Arabidopsis thaliana: one gene and its partners. The protein of the gene in region 1 purifies or fractionates together with the protein of each later gene. This does not show direct contact. Each region holds a gene or a part of one and is shown in the gene's direction. Other genes may lie near its edges.

Region 1 (5,467 bases):
AATTTATTAATAAGATTCAAAGTATAGAGCATCTTTGCAATTAAGTTCAATGAACTAGCAAGTAAATCTTTGAAATCTCCATCTTAGGATTAAGATAAGTCATTCAAAACAAGGAATGATTAAGCATCAAAGTTCCAAGTATTTCAAACGATAGCGACAAGTGAGTTATTGTCTATAGAGGGTTATATAAAACATAGAAAAAGGGTTATCTTCAAGCTATCTTCACGTGGTAAGTGGAGCCATTTCCTCACCCACTGCACTAGATAGAAAGTAAGTAACAAACACGGGGAAGAAAAGGACTTGAGATAACACGAAAAGACATCTAAATGACTTAGAAATATTGAGCAGACAAGATTTAGGAACCAGAAGTAGTAGAAGAAGTTGAAGAGCAAGTCTTAGTGGCTGAGCTTGAAAGTCTCAACAAAGTGGAACCACTTTTTGGGAAAACAATGTCACAGGCCATATGAAGTAAGGGACCCCTCCTCTAAGCCATGCCTTGGCTTGCGCCACGTGGAATCTAATATGATATGGTAGGATCAATATCTTGAATCTTAGACTGACTCATTTGACTGATTGATAGATACCATTCACCAAAAAAAACTAACTACACTGTCTGAGAAAAAGATTGTGGGGTTGGCCAACTTTTGAAACATCAGAAGAAACCAACACTGTGGAAAAAAGAAACTGTGACTGAAAGTAAAACAGGAGCGGTAACAGCAAGGTTCAAGATTTCGTGTAACTTTTTGTATGCCACGTTACGGATTTATGTTGGAACATTGTCCGAATTAGCTACTCTATCGGAACATTGTAGAAAGGCTAGAAGTTTCTTTGTTCAGGTGTGATGCTTATAAGAGAATCATATAAGAATATTCGAAAACAATAAACTAAAATTGTGAATCGGTTGCTCTAGGTGTAGGGCTGGAATGAACCAAAACTCACTCTTATTTGTATTGGTTTGAAGACACTGATGATTTCCTTCCCTCCTTAATTAGATCTCTACTTTATTAATCTATCATGTTACAAAATATTCGTTTACTATAGTCTATTGTAGATAGCAAATCACTTAAAGCTATACTAAAAATGAGTTATGTACATATAGTTTCAAGTTTTGGAGAATGAGTAAACACAAAGGATTCAATGGACAATAGAAAACGTGCACTTTGACCAAAACAAAAACATTTACGTGGACACGTACGATGATCTCCTTTATTATAAAAGTTATCGACAAATTCGTAGAGAAGCTCGTTTCTGAGTATACCAAATTGTGTATGTGAATCAGGCCCGACTCTTGGGAGGTGCTGAGTGTGCTAGTGCATCGGGTCCTACTTCTTTATTCAGTTTTTTCTTTATATTTTAGAATCCAAATTTTCAAATAATTGCAAAATAGAATCTGGTTTTTAAATATTTAGAGTTTTAGGTAAAGAAATTTGGAGCATACCACAAGATTCAATAATTTATTGGGCCGTGAATGGATTTGGTTGAATTGTGTTAGAAGATTTTTTTACGTAAACAGAAAATGAACATGACCTGCTTCATATACTCAAACTTTTACGAATTAATAAAAGCCCATTATGAAAAAGGCCCAATATGAACCGGCCCGTTTTCACAAAGTCGTTTTTTTTTTGTCAAAGGTCGGTTTAAAGGACTAAAAAATAAATAAGAAAAACCCTCTCGGCTTTCTCGCATCAAATTTCCGTTTTTGCTACCGTCGTCTCTGGTCAGACTCAGAGGTATGAACCAACTTTCCTCTCTGATTTAGCTTCTCTTTGTTTCTCATAAAGATGGATTTTTAACAATTGGGTTGTTGATTAGGTTATGGGTTTTTTCTCAGGAAACACGGAGCTTGAGCAACTGACAAGACTGTTTCGTGTTTGGGGCTTTCGAAGAGAGTAACGAGATTCGCGGGTTTCGTCAATTCCTGGTAAACTTACGATCCCAGTTTCGATTTTTTTCTACTGAAACCTGTTGATTTTCTTTGCTTCTTTCACTGAGTATGCTCTAGTATCCCCTTATGAGGTGACTAGGAAGCTTGATACTTTGACTGTTAGGTGTTTGTTTAAATTCCCAAGAGAGCACTTGATACTTTGAGTTTTAGAATAAAGCTAACCTCTTTCTTATTTGTTTAATGCATTGTCTTGTGTATACTAGGACACGAGAACTGATTTGGAATTCTTCTTTGTTCCAGGGTTTTCTCTAGATTGCTGTTTCGGTGGTGTTTTCTTTTGAGGATTTAAGGGAAACATGGAACCCAACAAGGATGATAATGTTTCATTAGCAGCAACAGCTCAAATTTCAGCACCTCCAGTTCTACAAGATGCCTCGTCTCTGCCAGGTAATTAATTAGCATTCAAGTAAATTGTTACATCAAAGATTATAGTGCAGTTGAATTCCTTAAATCTGTTTCACTTTTTCCTGGTTGAGTTTGTTTTTGTATTTTTCTCGCAATGCATCTAGATTAGAGCTTAAGGATTTGGTCTGTAGAGTCCAGATACTGTTTCGTTCTTCCAATTATTAAAGAAGTGCATTGGGTTTTCTTTGGTTTCGTGATCCTTTAACTCTAGTAATTTATGTTTCACTTTTACTGTAACTTCAGGTTTCTCTGCCATTCCACCTGTGGTTCCTCCTTCTTTTCCCCCACCAATGGCTCCAATACCTATGATGCCACATCCTCCAGTTGCCCGCCCACCTACTTTTAGGCCACCTGTTTCACAAAATGGTGGAGTGAAAACCAGTGACTCGGATTCGGAATCAGATGATGAACATATTGAGATATCTGAAGAGAGTAAGCAGGTCAGAGAAAGACAGGAAAAGGCATTGCAAGATTTGTTGGTAAAGCGTCGTGCTGCTGCTATGGCAGTTCCAACAAATGACAAAGCTGTTAGGGACCGACTTAGACGACTTGGGGAGCCCATTACTCTATTTGGAGAACAGGAAATGGAGAGACGAGCTAGGCTGACTCAGCTGTTGACTAGGTATGATATCAATGGGCAATTGGATAAACTGGTTAAAGATCACGAAGAAGATGTGACTCCAAAAGAGGAAGTAGATGATGAAGTTCTTGAATACCCCTTTTTTACCGAGGGTCCAAAGGAACTTAGAGAGGCTAGAATAGAAATTGCCAAGTTTTCTGTCAAGAGAGCTGCTGTCAGGATTCAGCGTGCAAAGCGGCGGAGGGATGATCCAGATGAAGATATGGATGCAGAGACTAAGTGGGCTTTAAAGCATGCTAAACACATGGCCCTTGATTGCAGTAATTTTGGAGATGATCGTCCTCTTACCGGCTGCTCCTTCTCACGCGATGGAAAGATACTTGCCACATGGTATGTCTCTCTTCTATCTCCTTCTCACTCTCAACACAAATTCACATATTCTCCACATATTGTTTCTTAGGCTTGAAACTATTTTTCCTCGTCTCTATTTGATTAGAGTTACCTGGACTAGATTGCATTCTACCTGCATATTCATTTTCATTGATATATCAGTAGAGAAGTATCTTAATAATCCTGTTCTTAAACACTGAACTTGCTGATTTTCCTCACTTTTAAACACTGCACCTTTATAAAACCATGAAGTTAGTTAGGCCTATAGTTTATCTTATAGATAGCATACTCCATGTCTATTGCATTTGCCCTTTCTAACTGCATTACGCATTCTCTAGGTTCATGACTTGTGTGATTCACATAGTTCCCTTCTGTTTAGTAATTCATCGATTTTTTTTTTGTCTAGTTCTCTGAGTGGAGTTACTAAATTGTGGGAGATGCCTCAAGTTACAAACACGATTGCTGTCTTGAAGGATCACAAAGAACGTGCAACTGATGTAGTGTTCTCCCCAGTGGATGATTGTCTAGCGACTGCTTCTGCTGATCGAACTGCAAAGCTGTGGAAAACTGATGGAACACTCCTACAAACGTTTGAAGGTCATTTGGATCGTCTGGCACGTGTTGCTTTCCACCCATCAGGGAAATACCTGGGAACTACAAGCTATGACAAGACGTGGAGATTGTGGGATATAAACACAGGAGCAGAACTGCTTTTGCAAGAAGGCCATAGCCGCAGTGTCTACGGAATTGCATTTCAACAAGATGGAGCATTAGCAGCTTCTTGTGGGCTTGATTCACTCGCACGAGTTTGGGATCTCCGCACTGGTAGGAGTATTCTTGTCTTCCAAGGACACATCAAACCGGTAAGATTCTAATTTTGTTCCATTGGTCCTCCTCGTATCCAAGCAAAAGTGATTATTTACTAACCCTTGTTTTAATATCCTCTGTTTTATATGTTTCTTCAGGTTTTCTCCGTGAATTTCTCTCCTAATGGTTATCACTTGGCATCTGGTGGGGAGGATAATCAATGCCGTATTTGGGATCTAAGAATGAGAAAGTCATTGTACATTATACCAGCTCATGCTAACCTTGTGTCTCAAGTGAAGTATGAGCCACAAGAAGGCTACTTTCTGGCCACTGCCTCATACGACATGAAAGTCAATGTAACTACTTCTATAATCCCTTGCCTTAGTATTTTTTTTTTTTTCAGTCTTCTGTTTCATTGGCTTATAGTTTGATTCCAATTTCTTATATTTTGTCTACCAGATATGGTCAGGAAGAGATTTCTCGCTCGTTAAAAGCTTAGCAGGGCATGAGTCAAAAGTCGCCTCTCTAGATATCACAGCAGATAGCTCGTGTATCGCTACTGTATCACATGATCGCACCATCAAGCTATGGACAAGCAGTGGAAATGATGATGAAGACGAAGAGAAAGAAACAATGGACATAGATCTCTAGTTTCATTTTTCATGTTTGTGCAAGAAAAAAAACTTGGGATCTAGGGATTTCGAGATTAGCTTGTTAGAGAAACTCATTAAATTGTATTTGATCTCTTGTCGGGAATTATAGAAACTCAGGATGCTGATACATTGTCTTGAAAATTTTGCCATTTCGTTCAACAAAAAGCAAATGAATGAACTTTGTTTACTTGAGAATACTTCAACACGTTAACAAAAATTGTTGATATATACGATTGTACAAGGTACTAAAGTAATGTTCTGTATTTGTGACTTCTCTGATTGCAGACTATTTATACCAACCAGCAAGAAAGTGTCGAAGTATGAAGCAGAAGGCGCAGGCTAGAGCCTGTAGCAAAAACAAGCAGAGTATGACAACACTAAAGCGACTACTTCATTATATACGAATGGCGATATACATATATCTGAGACCTACCTGGAAAACGAGAAGATGGATGCAAAGAGACTTTTCTGATTTAGGACCAAACAACCTCAAGTAAACATTGACGAGTGTCCCATCTTTTGTGCCGGTCAGTAATCCGGTAGCAGGATCATACCTGGATATTTTCAAAAGACAAGATGAGTGATGCGTCTGTTCTTTAATCAGTCTACAAAGGGTAAGAAAACAAAGGGGGTTACCTTGGGAGACGATGGCGCGGACATTTCACAATCCCAGCAAGCTGAAGAGTT
Region 2 (7,952 bases), on another chromosome or scaffold:
CCAAGACTGTTCAATGGGATGCCTAAGATGTTTTTGATCTCTAAACTGAAAATGACTCACGATCAAATCAGATCTACAACATTCTCATTGCTTTCACGAGAAAATAAGTGTTTAATCTTTTCAATTGCTTCGATTTTAATGTATTTCAATGCTGAGTTCACTTCTTCCTAAAATGAAAATGAATGGTTAGAATCAGGAGGCCTTGAAGAAATCCTTCCTAACCAGCCATAGATAGGGAAACTTTATTTTCTTCCAGAAACTGCCATCTCAGAAAAACTGTTTGAAATATGCAGACTTTGGACCACGAGCTTGTACAGGCTCCTGAACTGGAGAAACCGTTCAGGATATTGTTAGCATTCTCAGGCTTGAGGCAGGCGTTGACCACCAACCCAGGATATAATCTGCGAGTTTCTGAGTGTCAAGAGGCAGCAAAAGTTCTTTTGACGTATGTGCAAATCTGTTTGATTCATATTTATCTACATTTTCGCTTATTTAGATTTAAATTTCAGTGGAAATGCTGCAAAGTTTATTTCTCTATTGCTTGTGATACTCATTTTTCTGCATCACAAGATTCACACCCTTCTCTTGATTTACTTTTTCTTTTCAGTGCATCTGGGAACAGTGAGCTGGAACCTACGTTGTGCAATGGTAAAAAAACTTTAAGTGTGGACTTTAACTTATTCGTTGCATGCTGATTAGTTTTTCTTTGTTGCCATGTCTCTAACTGTCCCACTGAATAGTTGAGCATGCGGTCTATGAAGCTCACAAGGTAAGAAAATAAGATTCTTAAGCTTTTGGTAAAACAGGTTCCACCTATATCAGGCCTATGTAAATATGTAATACAATAATACTTGTTCGTGCAGCATGAGCTGAAACCGGTTTTAGCTAAAAGAGCAGAGCATTATTTCTCGGAGAACATGCGAGTTATCAAAGGCAAATGTTCTTGAATTCTTGTAGATGTCTCTTTATGTGCATGAATGATTCATTAAGCTCTTTATGATGCTTAACGGACTTTTATGAATGTTTGTTCTTAAATTTCAGGACGGGAAGCCTGGGCTTCAGGGAATCTTGAAGAATTTGGAAAGCTAATTTCAGCATCCGGCTTGAGTTCCATTGAGAATTACGAATGCGGTACATTACACTCTCTTTTCTTCTCTCCCAAATGCAACATATCCTATAGTGAATACAGACCACTAGTATGCTTACAGACATTATTCTCTCTTAGATTCATTATTTTGGTTTTAAATTCTGTGAGTTTTGTGAAGGTGCGGAGCCACTGATCCAGCTATACAAGATTCTTCTGAAGGCTCCTGGTGTATATGGAGCTAGATTCAGCGGTGCAGGTTTCAGGGGATGTTGTCTAGCCTTTGTAGATGCAGAAAAAGCTGAGGCAGCTGCTTCATATGTGAAGGATGAATATGAAAAGGCCCAACCCGAGTTTGCTAACAATCTAAATGGAGGAAAACCTGTTCTCATCTGTGAAGCAGGTGACGCTGCTCGTGTTCTTCTCTGATCAATCCTGGAGTTTTTGGTTTCTTCCCCACTTAAACTCGATTTTTTTGTCCCTTATATCTCTCACGCTTATTGATTCTTTGCTTGTTTATCTCTTTTTGATCCTGTCTGAGAAATTCTCTGGTCTCTTTGGTCGGAGTTTCATCATTGCTTGATACATTTTTTTTGCTACAAATACATAATGTAAATCATTCTCTACCGTTTTCGAGTCGATAGAAGAATCGCAAACTTCAAAAATGTGACTAACATTTCTCCATAAATTTGTTAAATTTTCAACAATTGGTGAATTTAGTTCTGTAATTGATCTAACAAAGACACTATACAAGTATGAAATTAGAAATTGAAATCGAAAGTTAGTTATTATAATCTTGTTTGTATAAAATAGTGTATATCTCAAATAGAGATACAGATTAGTTTTTTGTTTGGACACAAAGACCCCCGCCAAAGTATTGAAATTCGCGCCTGAGAAATTCTCCGGTGTGGCTCTCTAGGGTTTTAGCACTTTAATCCATTTGTACTTGTAAAAATCCCTAAAACCCTCTGGGCATGACTCCAGTATTATGCCATTCCACTGCTTCAATCCCTAACCCTAACTCTCTCATGTCTCTCTCCTCCACTCTCCGTCTCTCTTCCTCCCTTCTTCGCCGCTCCTTCTTCCGATTCCCCCTCACCGACCCATTATGCCGTCTCCGCCGCACTGAACCCTCCGCCACGCGTTTCTTCTCCTCCCGTACTCCTCGGTCCGGCAAATTCGTTGTCGGTGCTGGTAAGCGCGGAGATGAGCAGGTCAAGGAAGAGTCCGGAGCTAACAATGGCGGTTTGGTTGTTTCTGGGGACGAATCTCGTATTGTGCCTTTTGAGCTACATAAGGAAGCTACTGAGTCGTATATGTCGTATGCGCTCTCTGTTTTGCTTGGACGTGCTTTGCCTGATGTTAGAGACGGACTAAAACCAGTACATCGGAGAATTCTGTTGAGTGACTTTCGTTCGGCTCAAAGCTACTGATATTTTTAAGCTTAGTCAGTGGTATTGTTCCTTCTAATGTTCGATTATTTTGTCTTCCAGCTTTGCAATGCATGAGTTGGGGATGTCATCTAAAAAACCATACAAGAAATGTGCAAGAGTTGTTGGAGAGGTATATTATTGATTTTTGGAAAGTGTTTTCTCAGTCGATTTCTCTAAATATCTTATTCTGAAGAACGATTTGTGCTGTTGAATTCTTTGGGTTTTCAGGTTCTTGGTAAATTCCATCCGCATGGAGATACTGCTGTTTATGATTCTCTTGTTAGGATGGCTCAGGTAAATATCTGAATTCATGGAATGTAGTCCAGTCCTCAAATAATGTTTCAGGCACGATTCGATTCTTCCCAAACTTCTGACTTTTTTGTTTTAATACCTTTGTTTTTTTGGCAGAGTTTCTCCTTGAGATGTCCACTTATCCAAGGCCATGGAAATTTTGGCTCAATAGATGCAGATCCTCCTGCTGCTATGCGTTACACTGAATGCAGACTCGATGTGAGTGCCTTTTACCTTACTTTCCCTTCTAGTTGAAATGGTTTTCCCTGCAATTCACTTTTTCTAGTTGTTTCACTTGTCTTTGCTATCTATAGTGTATCTCTCATCTCTACTTTTTCTCTTGTCTTGAGATGAACATGTATTTTTGTCAGTGTTTTCAGCTGATTGTACTTATTTTTTTTCTGCAGCCACTGGCAGAGGCAGTACTATTGTCTGATCTGGATCAAGATACGGTAACCTCACTATTAATTTGTTGCCAAGTTTACCGATACTCAACTAGATGGTCCTTAACCTCTTTTGTTTTGGCAGGTGGATTTTGTGGCCAATTTTGATAACTCACAAAAAGAACCAGCAGTGTTGCCTGCTCGTCTTCCTGCTTTGTTGTTGAATGGAGCTTCTGGGATTGCGGTAAAATAATCAAACAAATCTTAAATCTGAACTCCTTAATAGATTTTGTTCGAGATTTCTTCAGTTAATCTTGTGCAGATTTTCCCTGCTGTATGAGATTGAATATGCAGTTGAATCTTGATCATTTCACATTGTTTAGGTTGGCATGGCAACAAATATTCCCCCTCATAATCTTGGGGAGTTGGTAGACGTGCTTTGCGCTTTAATCCATAATCCAGAAGCAACGGTATCACTCATCTCCCCTTTGTTTTTCTGTGATTTATCAATTTGTGGGTCTTTTGTTTTACATGAAAAATCCTCTGTTTTATAAGTAGACAACTCATAAGATTTTGTTTCCACTTTCTTCTTCGTCTGGGCAGCTGCAAGAACTGCTGGAATACATGCCTGCACCGGATTTTCCAACTGGAGGAATAATAATGGGAAACCTTGGGTAACTCTTTGCTTTCCAATTTCTCCCCAAAGGGATCTTATACATTAATGACTTTTGTTTGCCCACCTCGTTTGCTAATTTTTTGAGAGTAGGCTATCTATAGGATCAAATAGAAAGACTCACTTCTAAAGTGTGAAACTTTTTTTTTATGGAAATAGAAAAGCATTTTGTTTTGTTTTGATCTATGATTCTAACAGATTACAGAAGCTGTACCTATATCTTAAAAGGAACCTAGAAAATGAGTGAAGAGGATGGTCCAGTTAATAGTTTTCCTTTATTTGTCTGTCATATGCAGTTTTTGAATCATCATGTTTTTTTCTGATGGTGTGAGTGATTTTTTAATATTCTGAAAGCTTATATGTTGTGTAGTACATTTACTCTCGAGTTTGTTGAATACCTTTATTAAAAAAATAGTTTGCATTCATATGCCATTTCCTTTTACAATGTTGGATTCTTATAATTTTCTAATGTGTGTTTGCGCTTTCAAGGGTTTTGGATGCTTACCGAACTGGCCGAGGGCGAGTTGTAGTTAGAGGAAAAGCTGAAGTTGAATTGTTGGATCCAAAGACAAAGCGGAATGCAGTTATTATCACAGAGGTGATCAATTTAGTTTTTTAGATTAATGTTCAGATCTCCATGGATGAGGGTTTCAAAAATGTTTATTAGCAGTAGAGTAATGCCTTTAGTGTGACTTTATTGCAGATTCCTTACCAGACAAACAAAGCTACACTTGTCCAGAAGATTGCCGAACTTGTTGAAAATAAGGTACAACTAAACTTGCGACATCTAATGTTTATTTTGCTTCACTTAGCAATATGTACTTATTTTACTCAGAGGTGTGTTACATTTCTAGTATGTCCTTATATGCTTGCAAAGTTTCTTCTTTATTCATTGATGTTGGTGTTTGTTTTCAGACGCTAGAGGGCATAAGTGACATACGTGACGAGAGTGATCGTAATGGGATGCGTGTGGTTATTGAGGTATTACACTGTTTCCTCTGCACTTAGATGTATTAGTCTGCTTTAAAATTTCATATTGGAAGGTAATTAAGATAATTTCCAATACTTCTCTATAGCTCAAAAGAGGAGGGGATCCTGCACTTGTGCTTAATAATCTTTACCGGCATACTGCCCTTCAATCAAGCTTCAGCTGCAACATGGTGGGGTGAGTTGCATCAACCGATAACTTCTTATTTCCTGTACTTTTTTGAAGAGTGGGCATATAAAAGAACTTGGGCATTTTCCAGGATGACTAGTTGAAAATTCTCTAATGAGTATGTTATGCTTGTAAATATATTAAGGATCATGTATTCACATATGCGTTTTTCTTTATCGTAACTGGATTATGGTATTCTGTGTTTTACAGTATCTGCGATGGAGAACCCAAGCTAATGGGATTAAAAGAACTACTTCAGGTGACCACTTGTCTATGTAAATCATTTATCTACGTAGCCCACAAGGAGTAATAGAAAAGTGAAGATCAGAGATAGGATATTTACTTCTGTGCTACTGTAATCACATTTTAAAGTAAATTTGTTGATTACTTTCTGTTTCTTGCTTGTGTGTAGGCATTTATAGATTTCAGGTGTTCTGTCGTCGAAAGGCGTGCAAGATTCAAGCTTTCACATGCACAACAACGAAAGCATATTATTGAGGTGCGACTAGAAATATTTAACTTTCTTAAATCTGCTCGTGAAGACCATGATGTAATGATGTAAAGCATTTTTTCTAATATCTTCACTGTATATATGCTTAGGGTATTGTGGTTGGGCTTGACAATGTGGACGAAGTAATCGAACTCATCACGAAGGCCTCAAGTCATTCCTCTGCTACTGCTGCTTTACAAAGTGGTGAGCTATATTTTACTTTGACAATATAATCAATGTAACAATCTTGAACTGCACATTATAGGTTGATGTATAAACAGAATTCGGAAAAGTGAGCGAGAATTAGGAGTCAAAAAGTAGACTAGAGCCAATTTTTCTTAGGTGGACTGATAGATGTAGTCTAGGATGTACACTATTAAAAGAATACATCTTGTGGTGAACTCTTCCATATTACATTTGAACATTATATATTTCTTGTCTTTTTATCTGGAACTGCTGGAGTCTCATTCGTTGTAAGATTTGATCTTAATTGCAAAGATTTCTTAGGGATTTATGCTTTGTAAGTCTCTATTGTAAGGGACGATACCATATATTAAAATTAACACTTGTCAAACATTTACTTATGTAGAATATGGTCTTTCTGAGAAACAAGCTGAGGCTATACTGGAGATAACTCTTCGAAGGCTAACTGCTCTTGAGGTGCTTTCTTATTCTCGCTAAGTTCAATTTATGAAACTTGTAGGCTTGACAATGTTCTAACTAGATTCTCCCTTCATAAATGCAGCGGAAAAAGTTTACTGATGAAAGTAGTTCACTAACAGAGCAAATTACAAAGTTGGAGCAGCTATTATCAACCCGAACAAACATCCTAAAGGTGACACACTCACTTTTTAGTTATCTGTTCTTTTGGCTATTGATATTAGAAATTTAGAACACCTAGATGCTAGTAGAATGATAGATGCATCAATATATGTACTCCAAATTTGTAAGCTTGACTGTTTGAGTCCACTGAGGTTCAAAATCTAGTCCATGCATTATGATGTGGTATAAGGATTCAAATGCTTCTTCCATTTCTTGTTTGGTACTTATTTTTATATCTGTAAAGCTGCTTACTATATGTTGCTGTTCTGGGCCAATGTTAGGAAGATAACTGATACATGATGATTTTCTTGTAGACCAAAATTGAACTATTTGCTTCGTTTACTTCATTGTATATTACTTACTACTTTATTCTCTTCGTTGTTTTTCTTGTATTTTTCTTTAGTTAATCGAACAAGAAGCAATAGAGCTGAAGGACAGATTCTCAAGTCCCAGGCGTTCAATGTTGGAGGATTCTGACAGTGGTGATCTAGAAGATATAGATGTTATTCCAAATGAAGAGATGCTGATGGTATGTTGCATACTTAAACCTAGAAAGTTTCTCAACGTTGAAATTTTTGTTGTTTGTTTTGTAACTTTTGATATGGATGACTATAGGCAGTCAGCGAAAAGGGCTATGTGAAGAGAATGAAGGCCGATACATTCAATCTTCAGCATCGTGGAACAATTGGCAAATCTGTTGGGAAACTAAGAGTTGATGATGCAATGTCTGACTTTCTTGTTTGTCATGCACATGACCATGTCCTCTTTTTCAGGTATGTATACCTCAAAATTTCCTTTGTGTTTGCTACGCACATGGATATTAATTTTCTGCCTTGTTGTAATTCATTGCTTATACTTGTTGTACATTCAGTGACCGGGGTATAGTTTACTCAACCCGTGCATATAAAATTCCAGAATGCTCTCGCAATGCAGCTGGTACACCTTTGGTTCAGGTAATTACATATCTGTGTATCTATGTTTTCCTTCTGCTATGTCAAAAATTATTCAATTTTATGAAAGGCTAATGTTTTGCTGTGTTCATGTGACTTGTGGAAGCAGATATTATCCATGTCGGAAGGTGAAAGAGTAACCTCCATTGTTCCTGTTAGCGAGTTTGCTGAAGATCGCTACCTCCTGATGCTTACAGTGAATGGCTGCATCAAGAAAGTATCTTTGAAATTATTTTCAGGAATACGCTCAACTGGAATCATAGCAATTCAGTTGGTTTGTCCCCTTTTTCTTCTTAGTCATATAGGAAGTCTTCTTAACAAGGTTACTCTAACAAAATTATTTGTCTTCAGAATTCTGGTGATGAACTGAAATGGGTTCGTTGTTGCTCAAGCGACGATCTTGTAGCCATGGCATCCCAAAATGGAATGGTCGCCTTGAGTACATGTGATGGTGTAAGTTGTGGCTCTCATTTTTTCTAAATGATTCATCTTTCATGTAAACCTTTTAATACTTGAGCAAACTCTGATGGCTTTTGTTTGTTTAGGTTCGCACACTGAGCAGAAATACAAAGGGAGTGACTGCCATGAGACTCAAGAATGAGGATAAGATAGCGAGCATGGACATCATACCTGCATCTCTGCGGAAAGATATGGAAGAGAAGTCGGAAGA
Region 3 (4,615 bases), 480 kb from region 1:
ATAATCTGGTTGATTGGCTATAAGATTTGGTAACTTGGAACCTCATGTTGATTCTGCTTATTGTTTATGAACCTGTGAATTTGAAATTCTTCAATGGATTTTGGTTGCAGTGTGGAATACAATGTCTCGTATGTGTATCACGCTATGTATGCTTACTTTGATCGGGATAACATCGCGCTCAAAGGTCTTGCCAAGTGAGTCTCCGGTTATTCAAGAGTGTTGATATTTTCGGATTTTTTTTGTTTATCCATAGTTAATTGTTGGTTTCATGGAATCAGGTTCTTTAAGGAATCAAGTTTGGAAGAAAGAGAGCATGCTGAGAAGTTAATGGAGTATCAGGTCTTATGAAAGTTATTTCCATTTGTTTACCTTATTGGAGCTAATTTGGTTCTAACATGTTTTAGTTTTTTTCCATGAATTGCAGAACAAACGTGGTGGGAGGGTTAAGTTACAGTCCATTGTAATGCCTCTTTCAGAGTTTGAACATGTTGACAAAGGAGATGCTCTTTATGGTAAGCTCAAAAATGCTAACACTAATAATCCCAAGTGAAAAAACTTCTTTAGTTTCATATGTCTGCCACATTCTAAGAAATTAGATATTGACACCAATGATTTTGTTAAGCTTTTGAAGAGATTGCATATTTTCACTAGCAAAGACTGAATTTTATCTGAGTTCTTAAGTATTATGAAAATGTATCTCTCATATGGAGATTCAAGTCTCAATGGATATAGGAATTTTAACATACAATTCTGTGATTTGTTGTTGCAGGCATGGAGCTTGCTCTGTCACTGGAGAAACTAGTTAATGAGAAGCTCTTAAACCTTCACAGTGTAAAGACCATCTCTTCTTGAGTTCATACTATATATGTCAAATCCGTATTTGAGAAGTAAATCTAATCTTCACTCGGCAAGAACTGTTCTCAGTTTGGTAATGCTTTGCTTCAACAGGTTGCTTCGAAGAACAATGATGTCCACTTGGCAGATTTTATTGAGAGCGAGTTTCTGACAGAGCAGGTAATTTATTTGGTGTTCTATGTTAGTGGCAAAGAGCTACTGTTGTATATAAGCTATCAAAGAGAATCTAATAGGAATTTTTGATAAAATAAAACATTTCTCAGGTGGAAGCAATCAAGTTGATCTCAGAATATGTGGCTCAACTGCGACGAGTTGGCAAAGGACACGGTACATAAATAATCTCTCACATTTTGTTCTAATCTATAAATTTATAAAAGAACAAGAAAATCCACTTATTCATCCTACGTCGTGCCTCAAACTTGGTTTTAATATATGTCTTTGAATGCTTGTGGGTAATTTCAGGAACATGGCATTTCAATCAGATGCTTCTGGAAGGGTAAGCAGCTTCGAGGGACTCTTGTGTCTACTGTGTTTCTATATGTGTCTACTTTATGTTTAGTTCTTTAGCTTTTACGATTTTGTGAGGTAGTAGACTTCTTTTTCTGTAAGAGACAAAAGACATGATCACATAACTTTATATTCTGGTATAAGGTTCATCAAACCCACCTGGTGATCGATTCTACATCGGTTCGGTCAGAATGTTTTTGGACTGCCAAATGTGGATTCGAGCTCTAGTTTAGTTTGCTCCGGTTTAAACGCAATTCATGAATAAGCAAAGGAAATCAATCCAAACTTACGTTGTGAAAGAAGTTGGGCCGAAAATGTCTGAAACCCGAATAGGCTTTTAACCCCTAACCCCTTGAAACTATCTTGTGGCCCAATTAAAACCTAATTGTTTAACTGACACGGTGCCGTTTAACTTGGCATCTTTGACGCAAGTCGACTCATTTTCCGTTTGTGTTCCTTGCTCATTTCTTATCTCTAGAAACCTGTCTGATTTGCTCCGTCGCCTAAAAAGTCTAAAACCCTAAGTGTCTCCGCCTCGTAGCTTTACCCGATTCAACGAAGAGTGAATTCGCGTGAGCTCAAGCAGTATCGAAATCTACCAATCATGGCGAGTCAAACACCGAATCTCGAGTGTCGGATGTACGAGGCGAAATACCCAGAGGTGGATATGGCGGTGATGATCCAGGTGAAGAACATTGCCGATATGGGAGCTTATGTTTCTCTCCTCGAGTACAACAACATCGAAGGCATGATCCTTTTCTCCGAGCTCTCTCGTCGTCGGATCCGAAGTGTTAGCAGTTTGATTAAGGTCGGAAGAATTGAGCCTGTCATGGTTCTCCGTGTTGACAAAGAGAAAGGTTACATTGATCTGAGCAAACGTAGAGTCAGCGAGGAAGATATTCAGACTTGTGAAGAGAGGTATAACAAGAGCAAACTTGTTCATTCTATCATGCGCCATGTTGCTGAGACTCTTTCAATTGATTTGGAGGTAAAATATCGTAGTTCAAATCTGGGATTATCTACTGGATTTGGATTTTGCTTGTTAGAGATATTATCAAATATCATAGCTTAGTGATGTGATCGTTGAATAGAAATTGATTTGAGCTTTCATGTTGCAGGACTTGTATGTGAACATTGGTTGGCCTTTGTATCGACGACATGGTCATGCTTTTGAGGTAAGAATTTTGTGAATTGGAGATTCATTGTGTATCTCTATGGTTATTTAGTTCTCATATATAATTTTCTTTTGTTCAGGCTTTCAAGATCTTAGTGACGGATCCTGATTCAGTGTTGGGTCCTCTCACCCGTGAGATCAAAGAAGTTGGGCCTGATGGGCAAGAGGTATATACTTTGTTCTCTGGCATTGTTTTAGCGGTTAGTACTAACTTTATTTGGTGCTAATCTTACAAGTTTTCTGTTTGTAGGTGACTAAGGTTGTACCTGCTGTTACGGAAGAAGTGAAAGATGCACTTGTGAAGAACATTAGGAGGAGAATGACACCACAACCAATGAAAATCCGGGCTGATATCGAATTGAAGTGTTTTCAGTTTGATGGAGTTGTTCACATTAAGGTCGTATCTCTTATTAGATTATCTTTAACTTGTGAAATGAATACATTATGATTTCATTTGATTTTCTCACCCATGCTTGTAATTTCAGGAGGCTATGAAAAATGCTGAAGCCGCTGGAAATGAAGACTGTCCTGTTAAGATTAAATTGGTTGCTCCACCTCTGTATGTCCTTACTACTCAGACACTTGACAAGGTTAGGCAATCTTCTATCTTGCACTATGATTTACTTGGTTTGGTAATTGGTATATTATAGAAATCCTCCCCTACTTATCTTTAAGAGGTTTATGATCTCTGTTTAGATTGTATATCCACTAAAGCTACTTGCCAGAATTTTGAAAACACTGTAGTTGCAAGGAAAGTAAATGCTTAAGAAAACACTGGACATTGCAACTTTGTTTGCCAATTATGTAGCTCTGCGGATTTGTCTTCACTTAAACCATAAATGTGTAAATGCTATGTTTTGTCCCATTTTATCTTCTCAATTTCTCAAATATTAAACAGGAACAAGGGATTGAAATTCTAAACAAAGCCATAGCAGCATGCACTGAGACAATTGAGACACACAAAGGCAAGCTTGTCGTTAAGGAGGGGGCTAGAGCTGTGAGTATCTTAAATTAGTTTTTTTTAAGTGATGAACCGTCTCGAGTTGCATGTCACAAGAACGAGCTTTTCTTTTGTGTTTTGTTTAATTTGGTTCACAACCGCCTATTAATGTTTATAATCTATGTCAAATATAGGTGAGTGAACGTGATGAAAAGATGCTGACAGAACACATGGCTAAGCTACGTCTTGACAATGAAGAAATGAGCGGCGATGAAGATAGCGGAGACGAAGAAGAGGACACTGGTATGGGCGAAGTGGATCTCGATGCAGGTGCCGGAATCATCGAGTAAGATTGCCGGATTTTTCTTTCTATTAAATCTACCCAATCTCAACAGTCCCAGTATTTTGGTTTAAGCTTTGACAAGGCAGTAGAAAAACCTCCGAGAGGATTTATGTGCTTTTTGATGACTCTGAGGCATTTTATTTTACCCATAGGGGGTGGTTACATATCAATCATACATTCATGGTTTTATAAAAGATTTGATTCTTTGCATATGTTACTACTGCTCAAGAATATGTTGCTCCACCACATGACTCATTATTATCTTAGGAAAACTTTGGCTCAATATGATCATACTTTTGAGTTTAAACCTCAGGAAAGTAGGTTGATTGGATCTGGCAATGATAGGTGTGTAGATTTAATTCAGATCTGATGTCTCCGAAGATGCAGATATTCATCAATTACTACTGCGATCTTCTATTGAGAAAATTTACCAAAAATGAAATTCTTAAAAATCCTCTGTCTGATACATAAATGGTTAACTTGCAATTGATTCATAATTAAAATGATTTATTACAAGATCAAACATCTTGTCTTATACTACTAATCAGAAAAGAAAAATTCTTTCGGACACAAATCCTTTTTTAATCTGTCGGCGCATTAAAAATTACTTAAGCTCTCTCTGCAAAATCGAAATGTGAAAGTTGCGACTTTTGGAGCTCAGCTCAGCTCACACTTTCCTCTTCCTCTTACCTGAAACGCGTCTCGTAACACTGATCTCTAATGATCTTCGTCTCCAATGGCGATATCAGTACAACACGTCGTCGTTTTACTCCTCTCCACTCTCCTCATCGCCATC
Region 4 (6,786 bases), about 14 Mb from region 1:
TGAGATAGAAAATCCATATTATCCAATCCATATGGACAACAATGGAATATATAATCTCCAATGAGAAACATGTAACCATAAACCCTAAATCATTGTAGACAACTTTGATTCTTCAACCCAAAACCCTAAATCATCTAAACTAAACGCGAAATCCTAAACAATAAAGCCTAAATCCTAAAATGTAAACACTAGATACTAAATCTTAAACCCTAGACATTAAACCCTAGCCCTTGACTTTAAAGCCTAAACCCTAAAACCTAAGTTTTATATGTACATAATCTATAACCACCACTTTTGATCCATGATAATCTAAAGCACGCTTCTTAACCTGAAAACGTAAAATATTATTGAGATCGATGTGTTCATACACAATCTTACGATATACACTCGTATTTATGTTTTGTTAATATGTAATCGTGGATAAATAAATATAAACATTTTCATAAATAAACTTTTGTTGATATGACCAACAAAACTTGTTTCATCACATTTTATCAACATCTTTTACATAACGTAACACTGGTTTTATGAATAGTATTAACAAAACACAATCATTTTGAATTATCGACCGTCAACACACATCCACCAAACTCTGACCATGTGGTCATTTCAAATTATCGCCTATCACTCTTCTTTGATTTGTTTTGTATTTTTTCCATTTTTTCATTATTTGCTCATGTGTTTTAATGAAAATAGCATCAAACTACCTTTAAGTTACAAATTTATAGTAAGAATATATGTTTGGGTTCTTTAATTCAACTCTCTCTCTCTCTTTGAGGAATTTCCACAAATATTTGGTGGCCAAATCTAAGATTTGTAAAAAGACAAAAATTTGACCAAGACAATGATGGATACACTAAGAGAAGAAGAAACCTAGCAATTAAAAATGAAAATTTTAACCTTATGAGGTTGATTAAAGAATGAGAAACTGAATAAAAATCTTGAAAATTTCCAACTTTTAAGATCTAAGAAGAGAAAGAAAAAAGAAAAATCTAGATCTACTTTTTGGTGTTTTTGATGAGAGAGAAGAGAGATAATGTCTCAAACCATTTCCTTTTTTCATTAAGATATTTTAAGTGTTTTGTGTGTTTAATTTTGTAAAGAGTAGAGAAAAAAATGAATGAAAAGAGAGAAAAAGTAATGGTTGTAAATTATGGTAAGTTTGGATTGCTTAGGTTGGGTTGATGGTGTAGTAGTAAAAAAACTTTAAAAAGTGTTTACTCTTTCTAAAGTGCTTTATTGCGTAATTGAGTTTCAAAAAAGTGTCCAATTACCTAATATTCTCAAAAACATTTATCATGTTAATGACATTTCTGTAATTAACGTAAATGAGAAGGATATATATGGTTGATTTTTCTTTTCTTTTTTATAGTTACTTAATTTTCAAATTATTAATGTTATAAAACTAAAAACTATTCTTTTAAACATATATATTAATATAGCCTTAAATTTTAAGTGACATTGAAGAAAATTACGATGGAATTGAAAATGCTTACAACGATATTAAGTAGCTTAAAAATATGAAATTCTAAAATGTGCAATTCATAAATTTAAGATTCCTAGATGTAGTCCATAATTATATTTTTATCTGTTTGGTTTTTTATAATAAATTAGAAAAAATGGATAAAAAATGTAACCTTAGCTAAAAAGAAAAAGAAAGAAAGACCCAATAACCAACGAAATCCATTTACCCGTCCATAGGTCTTGGGTTCGGCCCATCAGTTTCCCGCCACATTGTTCCCGCCAAAACTCATAGTCGACATAAAGCCCTTGCCCCCACTCTCTCTCTTCGTTTAGAACTTTTTGATAAGAGAGAAAGAGATAGAGAAATTCGTAACGGAGACGAAGCAACGATGTCAGGATGGGACGAAGGAGCAGTTTACTACAGCGACCAGCCGCAGTTCCCGGAGGCCGGAGACGCCGCAACCATCAGTCCCCACGCCGTCTTAACCAAATTTAAGGAATTCATTCGAAACTTCGAGATCGAACAGAATTGTTTCCCCTACAGAGAAGCTCTCCTCGATAACCCTAAGCGACTTGTTGTCCACCTCGAAGATCTCCTCTCCTTTGATTCCGATCTCCCCTCCTTAATCCGATCTGCTCCTGCCGATTATCTCCCTGTGGTATGACTTCAAAAAAAATTAGGGTTCATATAAGCTTTGTATTGAGTGAGTCAATCTTTGAATTGTAGTTTGAGAAAGCAGCTGGTGAAGTGTTGACTGGATTGAAAATGAGGGAGGCTAATGAGGGAGGGGTAATGGAGGAACCTCTGACTAGAGATGTGCAGATTTTGCTCACTTCAAGAGAGGATCCAGTATCAATGAGATTACTTGGGGTATGTCTGTTTTTTTGTTTTTAGTATCAATGAGATTACTTGGGGTATGTCTATAATGTACTCTTTACTCTTGATAGGCACAGTACATCTCAAAGTTGGTGAAAATCTCTGGGATTAGTATTGCAGCTTCGAGAGTGAAAGCAAAGGCGACTTATGTGTTTTTGGTATGTAAGAATTGTAAAAAGACAAGGGAAGTTCCATGTCGTCCGGGTCTTGGTGGGGCAATTGTTCCTCGATCATGTGATAATATTCCACAGGTGAGTTCTTTTGATTCGTTTGTGATTTGAGTTTGTAGTTATCCTTGGTGTTGATTAGACCAAATTGGAATTTGTTTAGCCTGGAGAGGAGCCTTGCCCTCTTGATCCTTGGATGGTGGTTCCTGATAGGAGCCAGTATGTTGATCAACAGACCTTAAAGCTACAGGAGAATCCGGAGGTATAGATTTACATTGTAATGTTTTCGCTTTTTTTGCACTTGTATATATTAAATGCTTCTGAGTTTTGAAGGATGTTCCTACTGGAGAGCTTCCAAGAAATATGCTTCTCTCAGTTGATCGGCATCTTGTACAAACAATTGTACCTGGAACCAGACTGACAGTAATGGGTATCTACAGCATTTTCCAAGCTTCGTCATCATCTAACTCGTAAGCTTTGTAGTTTTATGTCAAATGAGAGTGTAGATTGTTTTCTGGGAGAGTTACACCACAACAATGATGGACATCTTTTCCTACTTTCTGATGTAGGCATAAAGGAGCAGTTGCAATTCGCCAGCCTTATATCCGAGTTGTTGGACTGGAAGACACAAATGAGGCCAGTTCCCGTGGCCCTGCCAACTTCACTCCTGACGAAGTTAGTATCGCATCATTTGGTTCTTTTTGTTTTCTCATTTGATAGCCTATGTCATCCATGGTTTCACAATGAACTATTGAAGTTAACATGGCTGAATTATTGTTACTGGAAACCAAATGCCTTAGGTAGCTGTTGGCTCTATGAAATTCTTTGTGTAACTCCCAAATGAATGTGATGGTGTTTTCTGGAAATATTCTCTGTGCTACTAGTTTACTATGAAACATTTAGGCCTGCTTGGAAGCCTAGTTGTACAATTCCATTTATCAGTTTTGTCTTCCATAATATTACTTTTAGGAGGAAGAATTCAAAAAGTTTGCTGATAGTCAAGATGTATACAAGAACATTTGCACCAAGATCGCTCCTTCTATATTTGGCCATGAGGATGTGAAGAGAGCAGCTGCGTGTCTTCTCTTTGGAGGATCCAGGAAGGTAGGAAACTGTGATAGCAGTTTTTATTTTCTGTGCACTTTGTATACGTTTTTGATATATTTATATACATTTCTATCTTTGATTCAGAGCCTGCCCGATGGAGTGAAACTAAGAGGTGATATTAATGTTTTGCTTTTGGGAGACCCATCAACTGCAAAATCACAGGTTTGTAATGTGGTCTCAGTATCAATGGTTTATAATAAGTGTGTTATTCTTTTTATATTTTCTTACGTCTCTCTTATTTGCTTGATATTCGTCTTACATCCTTCTGTTCAAGTGTTAGATTACAATCCTTACAAAATGTCTGTGTTATTTCCAACACCTGTAGCTTACATGTTTAAAGCTTAATTGCTTATTTTTTTTCTCTCTAGTTTCTTAAGTTTGTGGAGAAGACGGCTCCAATTGCTGTTTATACATCTGGAAAGGGTTCATCGGCTGCTGGGCTCACAGCTTCGGTGATTCGAGATAGCAGCACTGTATGTCCTATCTTCAAGTGTTTTTCTATGATTTGTTTAAAAGTAGTTGCTATGACAGATTCTCAGTTATTTATACATATGTTCATTGCAGCGAGAGTTCTATCTTGAAGGTGGTGCTATGGTTTTGGCTGATGGAGGTGTTGTGTGTATTGATGAATTTGACAAGATGAGACCGGAAGATAGGTAATTCAAATCTGAATCATAGTGTTGACGAATCTAATTTTTCTCTATGAGTAGAATTGATGGAATGTTTTTTTTTTCTTTATAGGGTTGCTATTCATGAGGCAATGGAGCAGCAGACAATCTCCATTGCAAAAGCTGGGATAACAACTGTCCTTAATTCTAGAACCTCGGTGCTTGCTGCTGCTAACCCGCCATCTGGTCGATATGATGACCTTAAGGTTTGAAATCTGGTACTCTCCTTTGGCAATATCATGGTTTTCCCGATTCTTGTTTGCAATATTCTTAAGAGATGGGTGTGTTTTTTTTTCTTTGGATTTGCAGACTGCTCAGGACAATATCGATCTGCAGACAACAATTCTTTCTAGATTTGATCTTATCTTCATTGTCAAGGACATCAGGAAGTATTCCCAAGACAAGGTAAGCAAGGAAAGGAACAATTCTTTCAGAAATTTTATGTAGTTAAAAGGGAAAACAGAGATTAATGATGGAGGTCACTGTTATTGGAAAGTTTGCTTCGTTGCTTGCTTATTATGTAGACATGATTAATGTTTATAATCTTTTCACAGGAAATAGCCAGCCATATTATAAGGGTTCATGCATCTGCAAACAAATTTTCGGATGAAAACACAGATTCTAAAGAAGATAATTGGCTCAAAAGGTGTGTTTTCATTCGTCGAGAAAACAATGTGTTCTCGCAGTTTTCTGTACAAAATCATGACTCTAAAATATAATGCTCTTTTTATGTTAGGTATATACAATACTGTCGAGCAAGGTGTCATCCCCGTCTCTCAAAAGACGCTGCTGAGAACCTGCAGCGGAAATATGTCACAATCAGAATGGTAATTGTCATTTACATTAGATTTGACAATAAGATGGTTAAAAAACAAAGTTGGTGTCAGTATAAAATTTTCGGCTAAACAGGATATGAAGAGACGTGCACATGAAACAGGAGAGGCTGCTCCGATACCTATCACAGTGAGACAACTCGAAGCTATTGTCAGACTGAGTGAGTCACTTGCAAAAATGAGACTGTAAGTAATCTTATTAACATAGAGATTCCTGATTCCTGAAACCTGATGGGATGTGCCGTCCATTGACATTGTTAAATATGTCAGGTCACACGAGGCCACACCAGATGATGTAGACAAAGCTTTTAAACTTTTTGATACCTCGACAATGGATGCAGCAAGATCAGGGATAAATCAACAGATAAACATAACAGGCGAGATGGCCAATGAAATCAAGGTTAGTTGCTTGTGGGGAAGAAAGAATCATCGTATCTCTAGATGTAATAACTAAATTTGGTATTGGTGTGAAAAAACAGCAAGCGGAAACACAGATAAAGAGAAGAATGGGGATCGGAGCTCGATTATCAGAGAGAAGACTGATAGAGGATCTGGCTAGAATGGGAATGAACGATTCAATGGTACCTAAGCTAACATCTTTGTTGTTTAATTTTCAGTAATGTGAATGGGATTTTTGAGGTAATGTGCATGTTAAAATGGCAGGTGAGGAGAGCTTTGTTGATAATGCACCAGAGAGGTGAAGTTGAGTACCAGCGAGAGAGACGTTCTATTGTCCGCAAAGCTTGATCGTCTAGGCATGCAATCTCTCTTCTTTAGTAGCAGCGATGACCAAACAAAACAAAATATTTAATATTATCAAGTTAATTTGTAGGCAAAAAGTAGAAAGAGAAGCTTATGTCATGTGTATTTGATGAAGATTCTTAGTAAACTTTTACGCTTGCTTCAAACTAATGTATTCTCCACCTTTGTTGTCCTTAGTTAAAATGTCACGCCAATGTTAGGAAAGCGTTTGAAGATTGCTGAATGGTATAATCTAGTGCCGATAGTTAAAGTAAAGATGCAGATAGAATAGTTGATAAAGTAAAAGTGTAATCTGAACGTATATGTAAATTAAAATTTTCTTAATGTTGTTATTAGTAGAATGTTGTTACCTTGAAAAAAAAATGAAATAAATAACCATGGTTGAACTTGACTCAAAATGTTCTTCTTTTAAACTGGTTCGGGTTACAAAACTAGTATGTTGTTGAATTTTGAACTGGTTCTGAAGCTCCCGGAATCTCTCAATTTCATTTTGTTCTTGTGTTGTTGAGAGATAATTGCTTCTCTATTTAACATATTTTTGGCCAATTACTTTACTCTATCATGCATAGCTTGGGAAACTCATGGCTAAAGCTGTTTTAAGTTGCAATGAAGAATCAATTCCTTCTGAACTAACTTCTTGGAAGAAAAACAGACAATAAGAGTACCATTGTTTACTTCTCAGTTCTCAATCACCATCGAATTAGATAGATATTTATGAATTTGGATTAGGCAAGTCCATGAAGACTCATTTATTATGGAAAACTGAGCATATAAATGAGCTACTACAGTTGAAACTAGTTTTTCTTAATTTCCATGACAAGATAATTATAGCAGAGATCAGAAGTTACAAGTGATCAGATTCTAACAACATTTCACTGAGAAGCTCTGACAAAGCTTGAAAAAGTTGA

What was found.
Region 2: the proteins of LIS (region 1) and GYRA fractionate together in Arabidopsis thaliana (co-fractionation; one large-scale study listed by BioGRID). This does not show direct contact.
Region 3: the proteins of LIS (region 1) and AT2G40290 fractionate together in Arabidopsis thaliana (co-fractionation; one large-scale study listed by BioGRID). This does not show direct contact.
Region 4: the proteins of LIS (region 1) and MCM5 fractionate together in Arabidopsis thaliana (co-fractionation; one large-scale study listed by BioGRID). This does not show direct contact.

The regions. Positions count from the first base shown.
Region 1 is NC_003071.7:17,303,630-17,309,096, reverse strand, and holds LIS (WD-40 repeat family protein / small nuclear ribonucleoprotein Prp4p-like protein), read left to right. Parts: upstream 1-1,670; 5' UTR 1,671-1,730; intron 1,731-1,812; exon of another isoform or gene 1,813-1,831; 5' UTR 1,832-1,921; intron 1,922-2,185; 5' UTR 2,186-2,241; coding exon 2,242-2,332; intron 2,333-2,593; coding exon 2,594-3,320; intron 3,321-3,726; coding exon 3,727-4,183; intron 4,184-4,285; coding exon 4,286-4,483; intron 4,484-4,586; coding exon 4,587-4,778; 3' UTR 4,779-4,967; downstream 4,968-5,467. Other genes in the region: GPT (UDP-glcnac-adolichol phosphate glcnac-1-p-transferase), read right to left, coding at 5,067-5,126, 5,214-5,334, 5,417-5,457. UniProt on the Arabidopsis thaliana protein: Participates in pre-mRNA splicing. Part of the U4/U5/U6 tri-snRNP complex, one of the building blocks of the spliceosome. Essential for reproduction.
Region 2 is NC_003074.8:3,340,350-3,348,301, reverse strand, and holds the start of GYRA (DNA GYRASE A), read left to right. Parts: upstream 1-1,941; 5' UTR 1,942-2,058; coding exon 2,059-2,483; intron 2,484-2,577; coding exon 2,578-2,647; intron 2,648-2,745; coding exon 2,746-2,811; intron 2,812-2,925; coding exon 2,926-3,027; intron 3,028-3,215; coding exon 3,216-3,260; intron 3,261-3,336; coding exon 3,337-3,435; intron 3,436-3,574; coding exon 3,575-3,661; intron 3,662-3,794; coding exon 3,795-3,865; intron 3,866-4,353; coding exon 4,354-4,462; intron 4,463-4,567; coding exon 4,568-4,630; intron 4,631-4,779; coding exon 4,780-4,845; intron 4,846-4,940; coding exon 4,941-5,029; intron 5,030-5,230; coding exon 5,231-5,279; intron 5,280-5,432; coding exon 5,433-5,519; intron 5,520-5,620; coding exon 5,621-5,714; intron 5,715-6,099; coding exon 6,100-6,170; intron 6,171-6,255; coding exon 6,256-6,345; intron 6,346-6,735; coding exon 6,736-6,861; intron 6,862-6,947; coding exon 6,948-7,105; intron 7,106-7,203; and 7 more. Other genes in the region: GalAK (galacturonic acid kinase), read left to right, coding at 294-445, 608-648, 741-769, 864-933, 1,042-1,131, 1,266-1,513. UniProt on the Arabidopsis thaliana protein: A type II topoisomerase that negatively supercoils closed circular double-stranded DNA in an ATP-dependent manner.
Region 3 is NC_003071.7:16,828,241-16,832,855, reverse strand, and holds AT2G40290 (Eukaryotic translation initiation factor 2 subunit 1), read left to right. Parts: upstream 1-1,629; 5' UTR 1,630-1,966; coding exon 1,967-2,350; intron 2,351-2,480; coding exon 2,481-2,537; intron 2,538-2,616; coding exon 2,617-2,703; intron 2,704-2,786; coding exon 2,787-2,933; coding exon of another isoform or gene 2,934-2,984; exon of another isoform or gene 2,985-3,021; coding exon 3,022-3,126; intron 3,127-3,434; coding exon 3,435-3,533; exon of another isoform or gene 3,534-3,537; intron 3,538-3,670; coding exon 3,671-3,826; 3' UTR 3,827-4,090; downstream 4,091-4,615. Other genes in the region: FER4 (ferritin 4), read left to right, coding at 111-194, 279-339, 425-512, 770-831, 949-1,014, 1,119-1,182, 1,318-1,355; AT2G40280 (S-adenosyl-L-methionine-dependent methyltransferases superfamily protein), read left to right, coding at 4,556-4,615. UniProt on the Arabidopsis thaliana protein: Functions in the early steps of protein synthesis by forming a ternary complex with GTP and initiator tRNA. This complex binds to a 40S ribosomal subunit, followed by mRNA binding to form a 43S pre-initiation complex.
Region 4 is NC_003071.7:3,522,456-3,529,241, reverse strand, and holds MCM5 (Minichromosome maintenance (MCM2/3/5) family protein), read left to right. Parts: upstream 1-1,741; 5' UTR 1,742-1,853; coding exon 1,854-2,123; intron 2,124-2,191; coding exon 2,192-2,335; intron 2,336-2,412; coding exon 2,413-2,592; intron 2,593-2,671; coding exon 2,672-2,770; intron 2,771-2,841; coding exon 2,842-2,978; intron 2,979-3,077; coding exon 3,078-3,183; intron 3,184-3,477; coding exon 3,478-3,612; intron 3,613-3,699; coding exon 3,700-3,777; intron 3,778-3,983; coding exon 3,984-4,088; intron 4,089-4,179; coding exon 4,180-4,271; intron 4,272-4,356; coding exon 4,357-4,489; intron 4,490-4,592; coding exon 4,593-4,688; intron 4,689-4,837; coding exon 4,838-4,929; intron 4,930-5,019; coding exon 5,020-5,110; intron 5,111-5,192; coding exon 5,193-5,302; intron 5,303-5,386; coding exon 5,387-5,516; intron 5,517-5,595; coding exon 5,596-5,697; intron 5,698-5,779; coding exon 5,780-5,863; 3' UTR 5,864-6,258; downstream 6,259-6,786. Other genes in the region: ABCC13 (multidrug resistance-associated protein 11), read right to left, coding at 6,751-6,786. UniProt on the Arabidopsis thaliana protein: Probable component of the MCM2-7 complex (MCM complex) that may function as a DNA helicase and which is essential to undergo a single round of replication initiation and elongation per cell cycle in eukaryotic cells.